2 linked regions of the Kluyveromyces lactis genome follow. The protein of the gene in region 1 interacts with the protein of each later gene in a pairwise test. Links are inferred from orthologs where the notes say so. Each region holds a gene or a part of one and is shown on either strand. Other genes may lie near its edges.

Evidence for each region. The genes of interacting proteins can lie anywhere in the genome.
Region 2: the proteins of MRS6 (region 1) and SFP1 interact in binary tests that used the Saccharomyces cerevisiae proteins (3 or more experiments, as listed by UniProt). The link is inferred for Kluyveromyces lactis from reciprocal best matches to the Saccharomyces cerevisiae genes MRS6 and SFP1.

What each region holds. Positions count from the first base shown.
Region 1 is NC_006040.1:528,867-541,017, forward strand, and holds MRS6 (GTPase-activating protein MRS6), read right to left. Parts: upstream 6,607-12,151; coding exon 4,774-6,606; downstream 1-4,773. Other genes in the region: KLLA0_D06171g (uncharacterized protein), read right to left, coding at 38-2,452; KLLA0_D06193g (uncharacterized protein), read right to left, coding at 2,780-3,160; KLLA0_D06215g (uncharacterized protein), read left to right, coding at 3,568-4,278; KHA1 (Kha1p), read right to left, coding at 7,666-10,011; KLLA0_D06281g (TerD family protein), read left to right, coding at 11,165-12,151. UniProt on the Saccharomyces cerevisiae protein: Substrate-binding subunit (component A) of the Rab geranylgeranyltransferase (GGTase) complex. Binds unprenylated Rab proteins and presents the substrate peptide to the catalytic component B.
Region 2 is NC_006038.1:270,417-281,112, forward strand, and holds SFP1 (zinc-coordinating transcription factor SFP1), read right to left. Parts: upstream 6,928-10,696; coding exon 4,882-6,927; downstream 1-4,881. Other genes in the region: AHK1 (Ahk1p), read left to right, coding at 408-3,449; SEI1 (seipin), read right to left, coding at 3,648-4,346; tRNA dihydrouridine synthase DUS3, read left to right, coding at 8,094-10,091; YET3 (Yet3p), read right to left, coding at 10,248-10,696. UniProt on the Saccharomyces cerevisiae protein: Transcription factor that regulates ribosomal protein (RP) and ribosome biogenesis (Ribi) gene expression in response to nutrients and stress. Promotes RP gene expression under optimal growth conditions.

The DNA.
Region 1 (12,151 bases):
GAAAAAGAACTTAGTACTATTTAAAGGGTATATACAATCATTTCGAGGCTGAAAGACTTGCGAAACTGGAAAAATGTTTGACAAGTTCAAGTTCAGTTTTCAAAGTTTCATATCTATAATTGACTCTTATATCTGGAACATTGGTTTTTTCAAGATCATTCCCTTCGATACCTTCTTTTTCAAAGTGTTTACCGATCCAGTGCCTTTTAATTTGAGCTTCCCAACCACTCTGCATAACAGAGTTTTTGGCAAGTTCACACATATCAACGTTGGACAATTTGTATATTTGTGCAGCAACAGAATACTCTTCAATTAAAGGTTCTCTAGTGTAAGAAAATTGCAATGGATCATCAGTTGAAAGCGAAACATTGAGACCTCTTTTGAAATAGTATTGGAATGGGTTCTTATCGTACGTCAAGAACAACGCGTTATTTGATAATGGGGACATAGCAATCCCAATTTGATCCAAATAGAATAAATATTGTACGAATGGAATCTTTCTCAAGAGTATACCATGATTAATTCCTTGAGCTAACAAGTAAGCTGAAATTAAATGTTCAGGATCTCCTGCCTCACCACAATGTGGTCTTAAGACTAACGTATTGAAACCACGCTTTGCTCTCCACCAGTTCAAAGATGCAATGTTCGCGTACAAGTAGTATAGTTGGTACGAATATGGTGGATTTTGAGTTGAATCCCAAAGAGTTGGTTTTGGATATTTTTTCTGGAAGCGCCTATCCACTTTAGATTCATCATCAACACTATCAAAACCTACAACGCGTTGTAGGAAAATGTGTAGCTTAGGGTGGGATTGTGGATTTTGTGTTACCTCAAATAATGGCAAAAAAATGCTTTTACAGATATCAAAAAAGTTCTCGACAATTCCCGTTTTCTTATAAACATCATATAATCTTGGGATTTGGATCAACCATCTCACATTGTGAGAGATAAGCTTGTTATCAACCACCCAAGCAGCCAATTTATCCCACTCGTCAGGAGATCTTCCGTAGATAGAGATTCTGTACTCGCAGTTCTGATATTTTGAATTTTCCAAATCTGAAATGACTTCCGTTGTTATTTCAGCGAGATACTTACCATCGATATAATTGTCGGTTTTTAGGAATATCTCACGTAAACGAGATTCCCCAATAGGATTATATTTCAAATTGAATTTGTCAAACCTATGAAATGTATCCTTGTGTGCATGCATATCCAAAGTATCGATAGAAAGGTCATACCCTGACAGTTTCAACGATTGGAAGACCTCTTCTAATGTCAAGATTTTTTCATCTCTAAAAATGACCTTTTCATCTTTCGAATGGCGCAATTTATGCTTTATGAAACGAAGCAAATGCTTTTGATTCATACATGCCGAATGGTGAACGTGAGTATCTACTTTTCTGACATTGTAGAAATCTCTATGAGGGTTCTTTTTTGATACAGCAGTTTCATGATATTCGTTTAGAAGCGAATACAAATTCCAACGAGCTTCAAGGTATTGCAATCTTCTGAAAGCAAATGATTTTGCTGGACCATCAGAGGAGACAGAAATGATCTTTTCCATGTCAATATAATATTCACGTAGTGTTGGAAAGACGTTTCCAGCCTGTTTTTTGTCCTCAGTTTTAGTATCATATAAAACATAAACTTCATCGCTATTGAGTCTGAAGTCCACATCTTCATCTAAGCCAGGAATTTCGCATTCATTAATGTCAAAAGATTTTGAGTCTGGCAAATTACTGACCTTCACAACAGTTTTATTTGCTGCATTATAGGAAGGTTTTGGCGGTGGTGGATAAATTTTCCAATCAGGTCTGTTCTTCGGGTTTTGATGGTGTTTTTGTAATGACAAGGTTTGGTACTTCTCTCTCAGTTCCCTGCAATCGCTGACACTTGAATACAACTCTACCAATTCAAGAGAGGGTGAATCGTAGGAATGCTGACCATCATCAGCAATTAGGCCCATCTTATATTGAGCTGATTTGATCCGTTCTACATCTAAGATCTGAGCAGATGATGATGATGATGGCTTTTGGGACATTGGACTAGATATCAATACCTCTGGTTCCGCTTGTTGTGCAGATAGTGAAAGTCTTCGTTCATGGCGAGGTATTCCGGCTGCAGCGACTGAAGCAGCTGCGTCCAATGGCGAATTACCAAAATACGAAGGAAATTGTGATTTCATACCGAGATTCGAGTCGACGCTAGCATTGTTGCTGTGCAAGTGATCTAGTGCTAACTTTTTGATCCCTTGCTCCAATAACGATTTCCCATCATGGTATGAAAAATGGGTACTAATCGAATGGTTGTCAACATCGTTGGGATCCTCTTCAGCATCGTAAGATGTTGCAAACTCATGGGTATTTTGGTGCTGCCCGCCTTCGCCCTCATTTGGATATGGCATTTCCAATTGGGACTGTTTCATACTATTATCTATATCAAAACCATTCATTATAGACGAGCACAAAATCGTTGGGCAATTTTTTGCTGAATGAGGGATCTAATTGAGGTAGCTATTTTTCTATAAATGCCAGTACCTTACTTCCTTACTTCTTCTCCTGTCCCTCTATCTTTTATAATGTCCAGAATACTCAAACGAGATTCTTTAATCTTTTAGTCTTAAGTCTCTAGTTTATTTTTTCTTTCTTCAACTTCTCTCAACTTCTGTAATAGAACAAAGAACAAGAAGGTACCCTAACGATGCGGATAGCAAGCTTCCGATGTCAATTCTCTAAATGTGCAGGAGGGTATTACCCTCAATCTATATAGAGAAAACGCCTTAACTGAATTCAAATATTGATTCCGCAAGGCCGTTAGCGCGTATGTATTCTTGCTCCCACTGATCATATCCTGTTGGCAAGTCGCCACTAATTCCCCTGCGCCAGAACAAATCCCCATGCAAAACAAGCATGGCCCAATAATACTCGTATTCATGACTGTACAAACACACCTGCTTGTATGTTTCACAGCAGAAACCCTTGATTAGCCATGAATTGTCGAGCATCGTAGTCGCATCACTGATCGATTGGCTACCATATTTCACAAGTATACCTACAAGAGTCAGGTACCAAGATCGTATATTGAAAATGACTGTTTCCGAAGTATCATCATCATCCACAAAGAGAACATTATCATACTGAAAGCGTGGGTCGGATATCATTTTGGTCCGTATTGGTTGTATGCACTACGTTTTTATACATATTATACAATGTTACTTACTAGCTGGTGTCTTTTTTTCTCAGTTCCTTTAGGTTAATTAACGATTTCCTTTATGCTTTGATGAGGTTGCTCAATGACAAGCACTTTATTCCACTGAGAGGATTGGCATCTTTGTCCATGTAATTTATTGCTCTTGATCAGGAATATAAACCAATTAAACCGGGTCAATCATCAGGTTATGTCAGAGCCTTGCGCAAATCTCTAATGGAAATTCATTTTGCTTCTCAATTAAAAGGAAGAGTATTCTCGAAGGATTTAGTCATACTACTCTAACACCAACAAACAGGAAGACACAGTTATTTTAACCTTAGAAAGACATTTACAAGGGTCGAAGATAGTCAGTTGTCAATGTCTGTTCTACTAAATCAATTTGAACAGCCTGTTGGTAAACCAATATACGATTGGACTGTAAGAAAACTTCCTGAGGATATTGTGGTCCATGGTGAACATTGTCTAGTCGAATCTCTTGATGTTAACAAACATGCAGAGGATCTTTTTAAAGCTTATAATGCTTCTCCGGACTCTATTTGGACGTACCTTCCCTCTGAACCCCGTCGCACGTTCAGTGAATTGAAAGGTTATCTCGAAGGTCTTGCCAAACTACCACTTTCCAAGACTTACGCAATCATTAACAAGAAGACTGGAAAAGCTGTTGGGACGTTTTCATTGATTAGGACGGACATCAATAATGGGGTCATTGAAGTAGGATTCGTCCTCTTTTCAAAAGATATGCAAAGGACGTTGATATCCACAGAAGCCCACTATCTGCTAATGAACTATGTTTTCGAAGATTTAGGGTATCGAAGATATGAGTGGAAATGTGACAGTTTAAACAAACCATCGGGTAACGCAGCTCAAAGACTTGGATTTAAATTTGAGGGTACGTTCCGAAATGCAATGATTTACAAACAAAGAACTCGAGACACATGCTGGTTTTCCATCATTGACGAAGAATGGGCAGTTGCTCGGACTGCCTTTAAGAACTGGTTGTCGAAAAATAACTTCGACCAAGCTGGGAAACAATTAGAATCATTACTGGAGATAAGAAGCCGCCTCTGAGCTTTAATTTAATGTTTTTTCCTCGCTTTCGAGAATGACAATTAAATCAAAGAGCAGTTAAGAAGCCGAACACTATTCTTTTGTTAACTTTATGTATGAGAAGTTAGGTTAATATCATGTATAATCTTAATTAAGGTTTTGCTATTTTTGATTTCCAGGAACTGAAAACAAGTATGAATTTTTCCTGCATCTGCCTTCTATGGATAACTTAAATAACGTTTCGTTTTAAGATTCCCAGGTAGTGGGTTGAATAAAGGTATGTTTATATCAAAGAGTGCAATTCGCAGTAAGAAATACAGCTGGATCCAAAATATGCTTATGTGACGCAAATCTTATCTAGAAGATGTCACTTTTTTCTTTTGTGGATAGATAATTCCATATAATACAAGGTTAGACACATCGGGTTATTTCAATCAATCTGTCAAAGAAGGAATACTGATGCTATTGGAATTGAAAGCATTGTCGCTTGAAAACTTGAAGAAGCTTGACGCTATGTCATATTTCCATCTCGCCTGCAAATTCAACTGGCTCTGAGTCCATCATTTGAATATCTTCTTCATCATCTGCGATAGCACTTTCATCGTAGCTATTAATTGTTTTATTGGTATTTTTTAGATCTGGTTCGTCATTTTCAAAATCAAGGTCGAAGAAATCGTCATCACTTCCTACTATTTTTTCATAAAGGAACTTTGCTGCAGTAATAACTTCATCATATGACACTTCTCCTGATGGCAACGAAGTATAAAGAATTCCATTATCTGATGCGCCAGGAATAAATTCTTTAGATTTATTCAAATCAAATAAGTCTGGAGTAACAATATCAAATGGAGGAGTGGATGTGTATTGAGTATAGTACAATTTCATGATGAAGTTTACCCGTTCTTTTGAAATGAGTTCTTTGAACGACTGTCCCAGTTTTACACTGTTGACTAGTGGAACGCCATTTGAATTGATTTGTACAAGTTCATCCTCATTGGGTATATCCGAGGACTCCCTTAAAATACTATTGATCATTGCTTCAAGTGCAGCATCAAGGTCCAAATCACCTCGAGGACCGGCTTGAGTGGTTGAGAAGTACCAAACGCAAGTACCTGGTTCGCAAACTTCGGCTCCTGAGCCTAAAATCACCACCTGTACGGCTTCAACGTTTCCTGTCTTCAATGAATCAGGTGGGAACACGACCATAGCAGCACTTTCTCCTTCACTGAACCACTGTGAGCAGTCTTTTTCCACAACACAAGTGAGCCTATGCACTTCGTACTTCTGGGGAGGAATGTTACCGCCATTCTGGGGATGTTGGGTAGGGGATGCGACAACCTTTTCTGTGACTCTTACTCTTGAACCGTCTTCAAAAACCGCAGTCTGGGAGTTCGGATCGTATGATACCAATTTATGATTGAGTTTATAAGTGGCACCAGCCACTGCTGCTGATCTGCAGAATCCTTGAGATAGTTCTCCCGGCCCACCATACTTTGAATATAGGACTGGGAAAGGTCCGTAAACGTCAAAACTAGTTAAAAATCTTCTGATCCTTGCTAAACCTTCTGGTGTCTTAGTATCCAGATTACGACACATACCAATTGAAAATATTAATTCAAAAACTTGAGGTTTTTCTAGCTTGAATTTATCGACTAGGAAACTAGCAAGTGGCTGTTCAGCGTATGGTTTCCAAATGTCCGTGCTTTTTTCCCATTCTAGCACAAATTTAATGAAACGCATTAAATTGCGTTTCGTCATCAATGGAAGAGTTTGGTCAGTAAATATTTCTTGTTTCGAGTTCGTTAACCTTTCAAAGTTATCATTCTCAAAGGTATGGAAGTTGGATAACGATTGGAACTCCAAATACTGATGTACTCTTGATTTAATTAGAACTGAGAGTAGATCGGATTGTGCAAATAGAATCTTGGGACTTAAATCAATACCAAAATTCTTGGATTTGAATTTCCCCTGAGCTACCAACCCGGAGACATAGAGTCTGGCATCTTTGTAAAACCGTGTTTCGTCTGAGTCTTCATTCACTTGATTTGTCCAATTCTTCAACTGATCAATTGTCATTGTAGCCCATGTGTCCCCATAATAGTTATTGGAATCTATATGCAAAACGGTGGATCCCTGCCATGCTAAAGAAGCAGATAGAATACTTTCAATCAACCCGGTACCAGCAATGAGTACATCCACTTGTTCCGGTGTAGTTTCCGGTAAAGGATCCTCGATACCAGCCAAATGTGGCACAACGAGGGAAGTTGATTGTAAGGAGCCGTCAGGACCGGGAGAAAAGAAGGAAGGACGACGTTCCGCCATAGAAGGGCGGCGCTCGGCATTCAGCATTTTAATTTTTTTCCGCTTGTAGTGTTTAACCGAGACTTTAGATTAAATATAGCTTATTCTATAACCAGTTCTTATGTCTCTTTAAGGGAAAAGCGAGAGAACAAAAAGTCAGATATGAACGACCTTAGAAATTCCAAAAATAGCCTGATACGGTTCAGAGGTTGGAATTTTACTAGTAATGAGATTATTCACAGGTTCCTGTAATGTTATTAGGAATTCTGTAAAGCCTAATTTTGAGCGGTTTGCAAGAACCAAAAAAAAATTCTCAACCGCCAATATCGCTCAAAGAATGACAAAAACAGCACTCTTTCGATCTGCTTCTTATTCCAGGTTCTAGCTTTAGAAAGGTTGGTGCTTTTCGATAATAACAGTTTATTTGTACCACGTACCTGTGGTATTCTGAGGTGGAAACTTTAATGGATATGTATCTTAGTTACGCCTTTAAAAACTGTATTTAATTCGCACAGATAATGAGTATGTGTTTTCAATTTTTTTTTTTTTTTTTTTTTTATCTTCACGGCTGGCAACGAGAAATTTTTTTTTAAACTCGTGAATCATTTCCCGTTATTATCGACAGAACAATACCGGAAACAATAGCAATCAGAGCCCCAGCTTGAAATGAAATATCGCTTTAAAATGATGTGGAAACTAAACGTGTCAGGGTATTTTTATTCAGGGATCGTTTAAACTTGCTGTGCTTTCAGACAAAACTTTACTATGGTAAAATTACAGCGACAGTGCGACATATTTCATTTTTAGTGCTGGCATGTGCACGTGATAATAATACTGTCGCGTCATATTATCTTATTGTATACAAATTTGAGTTAATCACCTTTTTCAATTGTGAAACTCAGATTCGGAACCAGAATCTAGAATCAGGACAGATATAATGTTTCTAATGCATGGATTTACTGGTAATTGATAACGGATTGCCCAACTCTATACTAAAGCACAGCTCAGTGGTGTTATTAAATGCTTATATAAGTAGACGAAATATTGAATAAACAGGGTAGTAATCGGGAACTACTGAACCATTAAACATTTAGGGTTCGTTGTTGTTCACCTATGACAGATGGCTACCGTAGAACCACTTTTAGAAGCTTTCGTTACAAGCACTTTAGAATAATCGTCTAAACATGTAGACTTTATAGAATCTTGTGGTAATACCACCAAACTCTTATTATTAAGTTCGATGTCATTGAAGACATCAACACTCGCAACTGCGGAATCAGTTTCGTTAGTCGATATAGTTGTAATATCCAATTTTATCAGAATGGAGGATCTGAGAATCTCTTGCAGTTCTCCAAGAGCAACCAGATGCTCTGAAACGGTAACAATTTTGATAGTCTTGGCATGTAATCCCATCACTAATCCCAAGAACAAGGCCATATAGTCAGAACCAGTTAAAGTTGAATTTAGTAGATATACAAGAACTGATGTGGGTTGTTGATGAACAACAGTTCCGAAAAGAAGAACGAGGGATGAAGATATTTTGGAAGAAAGCGTACTGAAGAAGTCTTCAGGTAAATCATTGAATGACAAAATCCTTGAGATGGACTCACTTTGTTCACCGTTAGGATAGTTTAGTGGTATCAAGAGCGTGGTGTTATTTGCAACTGGAATCTTTCCAATATAGCCAACCTTTTCTCCCAGTGATGAGAACATGACCTCGCCCTTGAATTTCAATCCAAACAAAGATGAGAACACACGTAACATTTCAAGACCATTATCTGCAGATGTCAGGCTATTGTATAAACTGGTCAGTTCAAGAATTTCAGCAGTTCTATCTGACATCAACTTCAAATTCCTAGCATTGACCAATAACGGGGATTCGTCATCATCAGAAACTACTGTTAGTGCTTCTGTATCTGTCGAAAGTACTTTCTTCAAATGTTTCTTCTCTAAATCTCCCGAATCAGAAGTAAACATTTCTTTCCATTCTTCCTGCCCAGAACTAAACGCTTTGATGAACCATAAGGACAACGCAACAGCTTTGGCATTATTAATCACCAATTCAACGGTAGAGAAATGCATGTGTTTCAAGTCCTTTGTCTTGCCGACCGTGTTGGGTACTATTTCTGAAGTACTACCGTCAGTTCGTTGTCTTTTCAATTCATTACGATAATGATCAGGGAAAATCCACAACGTCAATGGGGTGGTTATAAAAGTTGAAATAAGTGCCATGAAAATGAACATTGCATAAACCTTCTTGGTGATTATACCAGCGTTCAAACCAGTTGTTAAGACAACAATTTCCACAATACCCTTACATGACATCAAGACACCAACAGCCAAAGATTCTCTCCAGCATAATCCATTTATTTTAGATAAAAGAGCACCAGAAACAACCTTCGTTGCAACGGCAATACCAATACTTGCAAAGATGTATCCCCAATCAGAACCTTTATTCAAAAGAGTTAAATCAACGTTCAAACCAGCAATAGTGAAATAGATTGGTATCATAAGTAAGTTGGGTATATCTTCCATGCGTGCCGTTAATTTCGACACGTAATTGTTTTCTCTAGGAACGATAATACCTGCAATAAAAGCCCCAAAAATCGGATGAACACCAATAATATCTGTAAAGTAAGCACTTAGTAGTACAATCACAAGAATCAATAGAGTGGCAAAAGTGGAAGGGCTATCCCTTTCAAATTCATGGAATCTATTGAACCCCCACTTCAATGTAAGTCTGACTGGATAACAACAGAATAGGAACCAGCCAAAAGTGCATAACAAAATGTACACGACATTCACTGGGTCTGACTGAGAGTTGGAAAGAATAATACACAAGGCTAGAAGAATCCAGCCTACAACGTCATTGATGGTACCAGAAGTCAAAACAATGATACCTACTCTTTCTTTCACCAATCTCAACTCGGTAAGAATACGACACAAGACTGGAAAAGCCGTAATCGATAGAGAAACGGCAATGAATACCATAAAGACTTTGAATTCAATACCATGTCCGTCCATATAAGCATTATATAAGGGTAATGCAAACAAACACCCAAACCCGAATGGTACAATTAACGTCGCCAATCCAATCGAGATAGCTGCCTTGGCATTTCTCTTCACGAAGCTAATATCGACTTCCATCCCCAAGAAAAACATGAACAAAATGATTCCCAAATTAGCTACAAGGTTCAAACCAGTCACTGAGCCAGCAGGGAAAATGGTTGTGAGATAATTTGGGATCTGTCCAAACACGGTAGGCCCTAGTATGATACCTGCAATAACCTCAGAGATAACTTTCGGTTGCCTAAGTTTCGAAATAAACACATGCAAAACATTCGTAAGTACTAGAATTAACGCTGCTTGAATAAGGAAAAACGTTATTGGTGAACCAGAGTTATATATGAAAGGATTGACCCCCGAAAGCACACCTCCCACGGTATTAGCCATCGCTGTTTATATTCGAAGAATTAAGTGGGTATACGTTCCCTTTGACAATCCTTTTCTGATATTAGAACTCACTTGATCCAATACAGTAAAGTCAAGGTTCAATGAAATATCGATATTTTATTGATTAGCAGTACTCACAACAATATTGTCTAATATCTAGCATATGTACCTCATCATAAAAAAATGTAAGGTTAAAAGATTCTACTCATCCTATATATTCTCTGAAGTTAAATGAAAAAGGGTTTTCCAAAATCCCAATCTGTACGAGATTTCAAATGATAATTTTTGTCTTGGTTTTAACAAGAAGATGGGGCTGTCATTTTCCCCGTCATGATTTCACACGTGAGAATGAAACTATGATAATGAGCATGAAAGGCAGTAGCCTTTCTTTCCAGATGCCTTGGATTGCAAATGTGAAAATGTGCCGTAGCTTTGGGTGGCTTTGATATTGCATCGAATAGTGAAAGCAAATTTTACACATTTGAATGGTAGGCTCCTAAGTATTGATTTTCTCGAAAGAGGAAACCAATGAAAAGTGAATTCTCAGCCGTTCAATGCGGTATGAAAAGATCTACTTCGGCTAAGGAAAACACATCTTGGTTGGGTTGTTAATGTTGCTTTACAGAGAACAAGAAACTACGCGGGGTACGTCATCTAATTGTATATCAAAGGATCAGCTTTCCTTTCATGAATATGGTGAGTTTGGGAAATGTCATCTTTATGAACAGTACAACGCACAGCTGGAAGAGACTGCTTACCTACGAGATTTTATTATTCCTTGGGGTAAATGAAAGAGTAAGTGAAAGGCTAGAATAATTCTTAGTGCAGTGGGCTATCCAAGTCAACTATGACTCACTTGAAGGAAGAATGATGTGTTTTGGTTCCAGCTGGTTTTAAAGGCGGAAAAAAAAGATGTTTATTTATGGTGACAAGTTTAGAATTAAGTATAAATAGTCCGCCTAAATCTTCAAGGATTCAATGGAACAAGTTTACTTTTAGGTTCTGAAATACAGTTAATCAAAAATATAGGAATAGTTGATCTTTCTGACAGCTGATTTTACACTCAGACCAATTACAAAGATTCGGTGAATGCAAATCTCGAGACAAATACTAGGATGGTAAGATAGCAAGAGTTTAATGAAAGTCTAAGTCAATGAGTATAGCCATATCGAGAAAGCTGCTATCTAACAGAAAGGCCTTGTATGGTGAGAAAGAATTGTGCAGCTCTGATCCAATCGAAAGCATTGATGACATACTATTCACCTTTGTTGCTGAGTTAAATAAGTTGGGTTATCAATTTTCAGAAAATGCGCAGGACTATTTGAGAACACTGTCTGTCAATGAACTAACAGAATTCAGGTCCATGGCGAAGACTGTTCTGGAGGAAGCTTTAGGTGCAGACGTAAAATATGTACCGTTGTTTCGCAAATTCCCTGAGTCTATTCCTGACAGAAGTCTGTTGGTAGAGGCAGTCTACGAAAGTTTAGGAGATCTGACTCATTTGCTGTTCTTCAACTTTTATGGATATTGGTCATCGTCCGAGTATAATGGATCATGGTTTGGTAGACAGTATCCCGATTTAGAGTTACAGGAGGCCATTAAGCGTCCTGAATTAATCACTGGCAAAGAATTGACGACATTGGATATAGTCGGCCGAGGAGTGGTCTTAGAACTTTTCGAAAACCTCGCTAATTCGAAGACTTCAACTTCTGCCTCTGACAAAGAATTCATCAACTCAGTGATAGCCACTGGGAACGATTGGAAATCTTCTTTACCAGAAGTTATTCCTAGCAAAGAAAACCTTGTGCACATCATTGGTTGCGCTGCTACAAAATCTGGTCCATTTGATGAGGAATTACAGAAATTGTTTTCCACTCATATCAAGACTGCTACAGATGTTTTACGTCTTGCAGCTTCGTTCTCTGGATCAGATGTGGCTTTGACTAAGCACACGCGCTTCAAAATATCAAATTCTCAAAGAAAGTTCTTACTGTTCGCGTTAAACAAATTGGATCGTGAAACGGCAATGGAGGATATACTGAGATTTTTGGGCCTCTGGCTTGTATTAGCTAAATATTTACATGTCAATGCTTACGCTAGCAGATATCCAAACGCAGCCAAAATGATCCAAACAATTAGA
Region 2 (10,696 bases), on another chromosome or scaffold:
AGTATTTTGTGTAGAGACAAGAGAATAGCAGTGGGACCAAATCCAATTGTATTATTGTGAGAAGCCCTAGTGATTGTATCAACACCTGGTGTAAAACGTTCGCTTTGATTATTTCACATTTCATAAGGGATTGCCAAAAGCTCTGACGTCTGTGTTTTGAAATCTTTCTGTCTCTGGGAACAAAAGTAGATTCTCCAGTTCTGACCCAAATTTAGATCTCAGAAAACATTTTATTCGTTCGATAGTTGCCTTACGTGCTTGGGGAAAGGTTTCGTACATGCGGTTAGAGTTATAAAATCCTCTTTTGAACGACCTTTCAGCCAGTAACCTAAGAAAGTTACCAATTAATTGAGATAGAACACTTTGAGAACCAACAGTAAAAGAAATCAAGAACAGACAGATTTAACATGGATACTGGCAGGCAAGATATGCATCTTTTGAATTCTTTGAATAAATTCATTAACCTCACAGCCTCTTCGGGTTCTATTGGTCACGGACCTGACCATGGGTTGTCTGTGTCACAATTGAAAGTGGTGACGAATTTCCTCCGATTGAATTTATTATCGCTATTACGTAAACTGGAACCACTTATTGAAGTATCCTCAGAAGAAGAACTACGTAACAGGCCTAAACAAGATGTACTGACTCAGTGGTGGTTAACTTTACTCAATTTCTTAAACTCAGATCTTATATCAGAAACCACTAATACGCCTCTTACAATAGATGCAATCTCAGTTTCACTCGAATGTATCAGCAGAATTATTACACTTACTGCACTAACCACTACCTCCACTGACAAAGACCGTGAAATTTATTCGTACCACTTACTTTTAACTGTACGATGGGTGACCAACAGGTTGGTTTTAAACTCTAGAAAAAGGGCGGACCTTTTAGAGGTAAGAAATACAGCTGCTCAAATGGCAAACACCAATACTGAGTCTACCATTCTACAGTTTCTAAAACGTTATACTGCACTATTAACACCGTTAATAGGTAAAATCATTGCATTTGCATTATGCTATTTGAATGATGAACTACACTATGACTTCGAAGTTGTGAAGTTCATTTCCAGAGGAAGATTTGACATAAAAAATATAGAAGGAGTGAGTTTACTACCTTGCAGAAGTAAGCAATTTGCTATTCTTGATGAAGGTGTACCTCAATCTAAGTATACACAGGACATCATAGAAGAGTTTGGTAATACTGAATATGGTGATGTTATGACACAAGAAACAAAAAAAGCTTTCCCCATCATGATCTCATACCTACAGAATCCTCAGGTTCTTACCACCTTCTTGTTTCATTATTGGTACATTATACTTAATATACATCATGAGTCAGGGCTAAAAAAATTGGAACCAGAGAATTTCCCCGGTTGTCCTATAATTTCTCATATTTGCTCAAATTCTTTGAAGGCAGACTTAGAAAGGCTTTCAAGGTTCATCAAGATCCAAGACAAACAAGACAAGCATGAGGCTGCACTTCTGAAAAATGCAACAACTTCGAATCCCAACCAAATTAATGTTGGTCGAGAGAAGATCATCAATTTTATCTTCACCAAGTTTCAAGTTGTCAGAATCATAGAATGCATCAGATCCTTAATAGGGTTCTTTCATAACACTTCTATGGATAAAAGTTTATTAATAAGCTTCTTTTCATACCAAGAAAAGCAGTTTTTAAACGCGTCTTCCGTTATATCAGCTTATGATTCATGGATGGCTAATATTATATTCAATATAATATTTCAGTTTTATACATTCCATTTTGACACACTCCCCAAATTTATCGAAGTTATGTCATGGAATGATTGGACTGATGGTATTTTTGGAACCTTGAAAACTTTCAATGTTGATTCTCAATTAGTCGGTTTGTTGTGTCTCTTCAATGTGTGGAGTGTCATCCCTGTCACTCATCGTAAACGGGTGGTTACTACTATTATCGACGAGTTATGGAATCTACTGTCTGTTGATACTGACTTCCACATCATAAGCATTCTTTTTCATAAATTACTCGTGTTCAAAATACTCCCGGATAAAGATCTTTCAACGGATCAGATTCATGCCATCAAACATAAATTCTATGCCATAAATAAAGAGGTTTGGCAAATTATTAACGTTTTGAACTGTGACTACACTGAATTAGTTGATGAGAAAACGGTATTATTTTTCCATACCAATAATAGGTTAATACTAGAGCGTCAAGAACCATTGTATGAAGAAGACCTCCTACTCGTAAGCCAGTGTATGCATGCAGAAGCAAATAACAAAAATGTCAACAACACCGCATTGTTCAATAATATGTCACGGATGACCAATATCCGGCCGGGTGTTGTTATTCATAGAGGGAAATATCCCTTTGACGTGTCTGATGAGCTAGTAAGCAGAGCAGCTATAATGATCGCTCAAAAAAACAAAAATAAAAGAGAGAATGGATCAATAAGAAACGATAGCTCTTCCAGCACATCAAGTCTCCACAGCAATGACACTGCAGAAAGTGAAAACTTGAAGCAGGAAAGTGGACCCAAATTTGGCTTTGGGGCTCTGTTGTCTAGTTTTTCGAAAAGTAAACCAGAACTACCTCCAAAGCCATCATCGGCAAGCAAAAGGAGGGATAGTGTAGCTTCAGGTAGCACAACAGATACCTTTGATACTCAAGAGATGATATCTATGTATAGCACCGTATCATCTGTTGCATCGACCTCATCAAGATCAGAATCTTCGGAGGACCTTTTGTACAAACTGTCACAGCAATCCCGATCTCATATCATAAACAATTCAGACACCGAAACTACTAAGAAACGGAAGCTTATGGCCCCACCTGAGTCAAAATTTAGCAAAGATATCGTACAGAAGCAACCCATCAGATATGTGTTCAAAACTGTAACGGTGAACTCTCAGGCCATACAAAGGAAGAACTTACTGGATAAAATCCAAGATTTCAATAAGAAGTGGGGAGTTAAAAGCACCAAACCCTATGATAAACCTTTACCGAATCCATTCGGCATCGCAAATGACACACTGCTAGATGGATTTGATTTTGACTCTCTAGCACCTACCATTGAGGAACTTCAGCAGTTGAATCTTGTTGAGGACTCTGTGACCAAGGTTTACGACAACGAAATCTCGAAGGAGAAAGAAAATACGATCCCACAAATAGAACTCAATCAGCTTTTCGAAGGTGACACATTCACGGGATCGTCTGATATCATGGATGAAAAAATAATCAACCAGCAAGACTATAACCCTGTTACGGCTGTTGAAAGGATGAAATTGATCACTAGACTGACCAAGTTGATAAAAGTAATATACACTTTCAATCTTACTATGAAGGAATTTGTCGAGTTTGAGAAGGTTAACGGAAACAACCTTATTTACATGGAGTTAGACCCTGGTTTTTACCAAAACCATTCTTTGAACAAGGGCCTACTAGCAATATCAAATTATAAGTAGAAACTTTTGTATATATGTGTTTCGTACTTTCCTAATTTTACTTTTTTAATGCATCAAGTCATTTGAACAATCAAAGTCAATAGAAACTCTATTATCATTAAAAATTCGCATTTTTCCAAATACAACAATTCAACAGAGTATGACTGTTTAACATCAGGATGAGATGTGAGTTAGAATAAAACTACTTGAGTGTCTGTTTTATGCCATTACAATATAGCTGAAGACACCAGTAAAAGATAATAGGAAGCAACTAGAAATCAAACTAGCAAATAATAAAGTGCCCAATAGATGACAAGTTCTTCTCCAGCTTAGTAAAAACTTTCGGAATCCGGTATATTTCACTGAAAATTGGACATTGATGTAACTTAAAAGGTAGTCCTCAGTATAGTCCTTTAAATCTATCCTGATCCTCTTGTTATCAGGATTTACAGGAAATCCAAACTTAAAGTCATTGATGACATCTTTCTTGACAGTTTTTGACACTGAATCGAACCCATTGAATCTTGAAGAGAGAAAATTCAAGTTATCAAAACATACAAGAGGTAACTTTCTGGGATTGTCATCTATTGATAAAGTCACGGCCTCAATTGGTCGGTGAGAAGTACAATAAATCCCCAAATTTAAGGTAACATCTAAAGGTATGTCTGATCGTATTTCATTCTCTTTAGTTGATGTAACATTGGCAATGACCCGCAAATCAAATGGAACTGTCCAAGAATTAGCCATGTTGCTCAAAGGTATAACATGCATTCTGTTGTTTGGAATCAACCTATTGATAAAATCTATCCATAAAAGATTCGATAATGGTAAAATGAAGATAATCTCAATGCATATAAGTATAAGCAAATAAGAAAACCATCTTGCTGCCTGAAGTGGAATGGATACGTTTATCTTCATTAATTTATAGCTTGCTATCGGGGAGTGACGCTTTTCAACTTCTTTGTTTTGCAACGGCAGCTGTTCACTTCATGCTTACATATATTCTTTACCTTAAAATACTAGCGAAAGCTTTAAATATAATCTTGATTTTTCCAACGCTCCAGAATCCTATTTAGTATACAAAACGACAGATAAATATATAGAGGTATGAAGTCCACTGAGTTTTAACGGACTGCAGCTTATAACGATAGAATACAACAGAAAGTAAGGAATACCTTTTGATGATGTATACTTGTATGTAATAAGACGGAATAAAACAAAATGAAAATGAAAATGAAGATGAAGGGGATTTACAACGGCCTTTAAATCAAAGGATCATATTATTCAAAAAAGGAAGCAACCTAAGAAAATCGAACGGAGAAACAAAAAACATGAAGACGAGAACAATTATCTGGTTACACATGCTGACAGAATTAGATAAGAGGCCATAAAGCACAAACATAGGCATTGGAATGACACATAATTAGAAAGAAACAATGCCGATGCTCTTCGATCAATGTGTGCTATGCCCTCTATGATATTTAAGACCATTCAAATTCTTATATCTCTTTCCACAGACTTCACAGCGGTAAGGTTTGTCATTTTCCATACCCATTCCATCAGGATAAGGTTCATTAGATTCTGGATCTATTATGCTGAAAGTGCCATCTGGGTTTTCATGTAATTTTTGGTTCTGATGACCATGCAGTTTGTGATACTTCAAACCATTTTGATTCTTGTACGTCTTGTCACATCCTATCACTGGACATTTGAACGGTTTATGCTCCTCGTGATCCATCACGTAAAGTCTTCTAGCTGGATCATCAATGTAACCCTGTTGTTTTCTACTGGACAAAACGTTATCTTCATCATCATGATCATCTTCATCATCTTCATCTTCATCGACAACTTCATCGTCATCATCATCATCTTCACCAATAACTACCCCGGATTCATGATCTCCAAGCAAACCTGAGTCACTATCCTGCCTTCCAATACCCTTCATTTTCATGTGGGAATTAGTCAACTTCTTGGATTTTTTTGAGAGTCCTAGTTGATTAGTATTTGTTAGCGGGACGTTGTGCGAAAGAGGATCAATCGAACCAAAGCCCATGACCCCTCCAAGAGAACTATCGTTTAATCCAGAAATAACCCCCGCTTCCATGTAATCAAGATCCAAACCAGATCCCAAAGGTAAAGACCGCTTGCTAGCTGGCTGGACCATTGTTTGATGAGATTTCGTAGAGTATGAGTTGAAATTAGAAACATTTCTAGATGATGATGGCTGGGAATGTTTCGATTGTAGAAACACTTCATTTGTCGAAACTGCATCCACGAAACCCCCATTCAAATGCAGTTGATTAGTGGAAGCGGATGATTGGCCAGACTGAGACAAAGAAGTCAGGTTTGAACTGGATGACGAGGTATTAATCTGTGAGCCCCGCGGTACTTTGCTTTGAGATTGACCAGATCCAGTTAAACCACTTCCCGATTGAAGTAGACGGTGATCAGACTTTCTTGGGTGCTGAGACCCGTTTATAGTGTTGTTATTGTTGCCGTTATTGTTATTGTTATCATTAATGTTATTGGTATTATTATTACTTTGATGTTGCTGCTGCATCCGTTGCTGCGATAATATAGCCTTCCGCTGCTGATAATTTACACCGTTAGAAGACAGATGTTCCTGTTGCATGGCATGATTATGATGGTCTGGTCCACTTCTCAGTTGGCCATGCATGTTATTTGACGCTAGCGAACCACTGGCGTGCTGATTTAGATGAGAATGCAAATGCGAATTAGAATGGCTGGAATTTGCGTTTGACATGGCTGCAGAGCTGGTGTTATTAGATTGAGAATGATGGTTACCGTTATTTGAAGAGGCATGAGCAGCTGATTGCAGATTGAAGTTCATATTGACTCCGACCATATTTGGGTTCATAGGGTGATGAACATGGCCATGGTTGTTATGGTGAGAGGGGAGACCGTTGCTATGGCTTCCTGGAGAAGTGGCAATATGAGCTTCTTCATAATGCCTTAAGAGGTCGTGCAAACTAGGAAGCAGTTGGCCACAGCAGCTATAATCCTTGCAGTATTGTTTCTCAAGATTGGGCAAATAAGCACCTGATGAACCAGGAGGAGAGGCAAATTTTGTAAGGTCCAAGGGGCTCTTACCACCACCAACATTCCCATTACCATGTTTTCCCAAGAAGTCATTCGAATTTTGTACGTTGATCGGATATGCTCTACCATGGCCGCTGCTGTTCCCATTAACGTTGATGTGGCCATTTATAGAAAGAGATCCATGATCCTTTCCGTACGACTGAGCATGGATCATAACTTCATCTCGTAGCCACGAACTGATCGTAAGCGACCCCCATGAAACACCACCTATTCCCTGAGAATGAGCAATAGAGTCTCTTCTTAACTTAGCCATCTGATGCGTATTCCCATTAGAACCCGCACTTCCACTGTTATCCACCATACTCTCACTAATAAATATCCCTGGTCCTGAACCAGTAGTATTACTGGCCGGAGCAGTTGTTGTAGCAGTCGTTTCCATCTCGCTGTTCCGTACAAGGAAAAAGAGAGTAAAATTAAAACTAGACTACGTAGCCTTCAGGAAAAAAAAAGAGAATAGTATAAAAAACCTTTAAGAAAGATTCCACACAGTTGCGTTACCAATCCTTATCCTATTTCTCCCAGCTTTATACTACAGATGAGCCGATGAAACTTCTATATTATACCGAATTCTCTCACCGTATCTTGAAATCTAAATTCAACTTTCTGACCGAGAAAATGAAATATTATAACAGACCTGTCCTGTCCCCAGAATGATCGTCTGTGTTCCGACCCGATAGCGTTCTCTGCCGTGCCTAGCTGGATAAATCAAACGCCTGAGACCGTATAATATCCGACCGAACTTATCGACTTCTTTCCTGATCCTACTTGTCTCAAGATTTCATATCAAATCATCACCATACATTATTCTCTATATTCCACTTTCACATATATATATCACAATATCACAATATCAAACCCAATTACATATATCCGCAGTGTTCAATTATAGTTTTGAACGACTTTTGGAATCCGTGCAGCGGGTTCTTCTATTGAAGTCAGCTGCTGGGGTCAGAAACAGGCGTAGCAGTACTGGTCTTATTCCTTTTTCGGAGAGGGGGCAGGCATAGAGAAGAGGAAGGGGAACGGACTGTTGTACGTACAAAGTGATATAAAATCACTCTGCACGGACAGTGTTGAGATAAATTCCGAGTTTCTGGCCTCCTGTCTTGACCCTTTTTCCCATGCTACGGTTTCTAGGGGGGAAAATTAGATCCTTTCTTTGGTAGTGGGAGCAAGGAAAGACAGGACAGAGGCCTTAGGCCAGTCCCTGTTTACCCGGACTTTATTGAGGCCAACAATGACGATTCACGTGACGGGCGACGCGTCACGTGAATCGTCATTGTTTGCTATGAATGCTTTTTTCAATGTGTCAAAAGAGATTCATGCCAGTAGCGATCGAATTTATACAGTTTATGTAATTCCCATCGCATCACTGGTGAGCTGTTTCCATCATTCTACGTGAAAATTGACAAAAAAAAAAGCGATGAAATTTATGCACAATATTTACAGGCCTATCTCATCGACAAGATGAGATGAATCGATAGAGATAAGTAATTCAAAGCATCCACTTCGCTAGTGCAATCAATAACCCCTGGTATACCTGATATGGATCCAAGTCAACCACAGGTCAAGAGACCAGCTAGTTCAGATGAACAGCCGTCGGCTAAGAAAACGGATACTGCCACTTCCAAAGGTATCGCTCATTTGAAACCAGAATTTATCTTGTTCAATGATCAAAATGGTAGTTCCAGGCCTATGGCAGGCGAGTATAACGACGAAGAAGAGTCCACGTCTTCTCGTCTTGAATCTCAACCGGCAAATCAAATAAAGGGTAAGAAACAAAACAGTAAGAAGAAAAGAGGTCAAAACAAGAACCGTGATAACAGACAAGTGAGAGAACAGCACGCTCTTTGTTCGAAATTTGTCACTAACGTCGATGCTACCTGTTCTTTTGATACTAAGTGTAGGTACGTGCATGATGTGAGAGAGTACTTGTCTAAGAAAGCCCCTGAGATTAAAACCGAGTTTTTCCCCATATGTCCAGTTTGGCAATCTTTGGGACATTGTCCCATGGGTTACAAATGTTGTTTCCTTTCCTCGCATTGTAATATGGAGACTCTGGAATTAAAAGATCTGTACGAGGTGGATGAGAGGAAAAAGCTTTATGAGGCTAACCATGAGATCAATCACATAGACGGTGAAAGGAAGTATGATCTAATTAAGAGAAGATTCTCATTCACGAAGAGCGATTATATATTAGAGATTATTGATGCCATGCAACAAGAGAATAGAGATTTAATGAACACTTCAAAGGGTTCTGAAACAACTACAGATGCTAATGCTGGTGAAGACGCTAATGATGAAAAGGTCTCATTTCAAGCAACTGAAAAACAAAACCAACTAACGGAGAAAAGAGAAAGACAACGTGAACTGTATTTGAAATATCACGATACCAGGTTTTTCGCACAGGAGAAGAGAAAGCTAGATTTGCATCATAAGAAGATCGTCTCTCCCTTGACTACCGTCGGTAACTTGCCTTACCGTCGTCTAATGCGGAAATTAGGAGCAGACGTGACTTATTCTGAAATGGCTTTGGCTGTTCCCTTGATTCAAGGTACAAATTCAGAATGGGCACTACCGAAGGCCCATTGCTCAGAGTTTCCTGGGTTTGGTGTTCAAATTGCATGTTCAAAAACTTGGCAAGCTGCAAAGGCTGCAGAAGCACTTGCTGCTAACGTCACTGGAGTTAGCGAAATAAATCTAAACAGTGGTTGCCCGATTGATCTTTTATACAGACAAGGTAGCGGAAGCGCATTACTAGATAATCCTGCCAGAATGATCCGTTGTTTGAATGGTATGAACTATGTTTCGAACGACATACCTGTCACCGTGAAGATCCGTACTGGTACTAGAGAAGGCCATCCAATTGCATTATCTATCACTAAGAGATTAGTGCTTGAAACGGACGTTGCAGCTATCACTTTGCATGGTAGAACCAGACAACAAAGATACACTAAATCTGCCGATTGGGACTATGTCGGAGAGGTAGCTAATGCGGTAAGGACATACGAAGCAGAAAGACAAGAGAACAAGAATCTAAGAGATGGCCAGAAGATTCAATTTGTTGGTAACGGTGATTGTAACAACTGGGAAGATTGGTACAAACATCTTGAAAATAAAAACATGGATAGTGTGATGGTTGCTCGTGGTGCACTAATTAAGCCATGGATCTTCGAAGAAGTCGATGCCCAGCAATACATGGATAAAAGTTCTAAGGAAAGATTGGAAATTTTGAAAGACTATTGTAAATTTGCAATGGATCATTGGGGTACTGACCAGTATGGTATCTCTCAATGTCGTAGATTCTTCTGTGAATTTATGTCATTCTTCCACAGATATGTTCCAATGGGTATTTGTGAAAGATACCCCGTTCTACTAAACGAAAGACCACCAAATTGGAAAGGCCGTGATGATCTAGAAACATTGTTAGGCTCCACTGACTCTAACGACTGGCTCAAATTATCCGAAATGTTCTTTGGTAAAGTGAACGATGAATTCGTTTTCACTCCAAAACATAAAAGTAATTCATTTGCAACTAACTAAGAACGTGAAATATTCGTCAGAACGTGCGGCGTCTATCCTGAAAGTTTGGTCTTCAACGTTCATTGAATCATAGACATGTAAATATTTTTCGCTTACTTATATATATATATACATATAGACGTAAGGTCATAAAAGGTCATATCCCATTCCCTGGTTTTACTCCATCTCTTTCTGTAAAGCAGAGGCCTGCTCCTTCAATCTTGTAATTTCCTCATCTACAGATTCAATTTCTTTTTCTAATGCCTTTTGTTGAGGAGCCAGTTTATCTTCCTCCGATTTCAAGATCAAATGATAATCCTCTTTTAGCTCGAATAACTCCCAGACAAGGTTAACGGTACGGCTCAATACAAATGTTAAGAACAAAGTAATGCCCGTTAAGTACATGTTCCTCTGCCAGAAGAACTTTCTTGATAAAATCTCCATTCTTCCTTGAGGATGAGTACCTGTACCTACTTCCTTTAGCTTATCCAATTCGCCCTCTACGCTGTAGACTTTATTTATAGAATCAACGAAAAGTAATAGAATGAATGCTAGTAAGCATTTGATTGTTATCTGAACCGTAGGAGAAAAGAAAGGTTTCGAAAGGGCAGAGATGACAGGTTTCT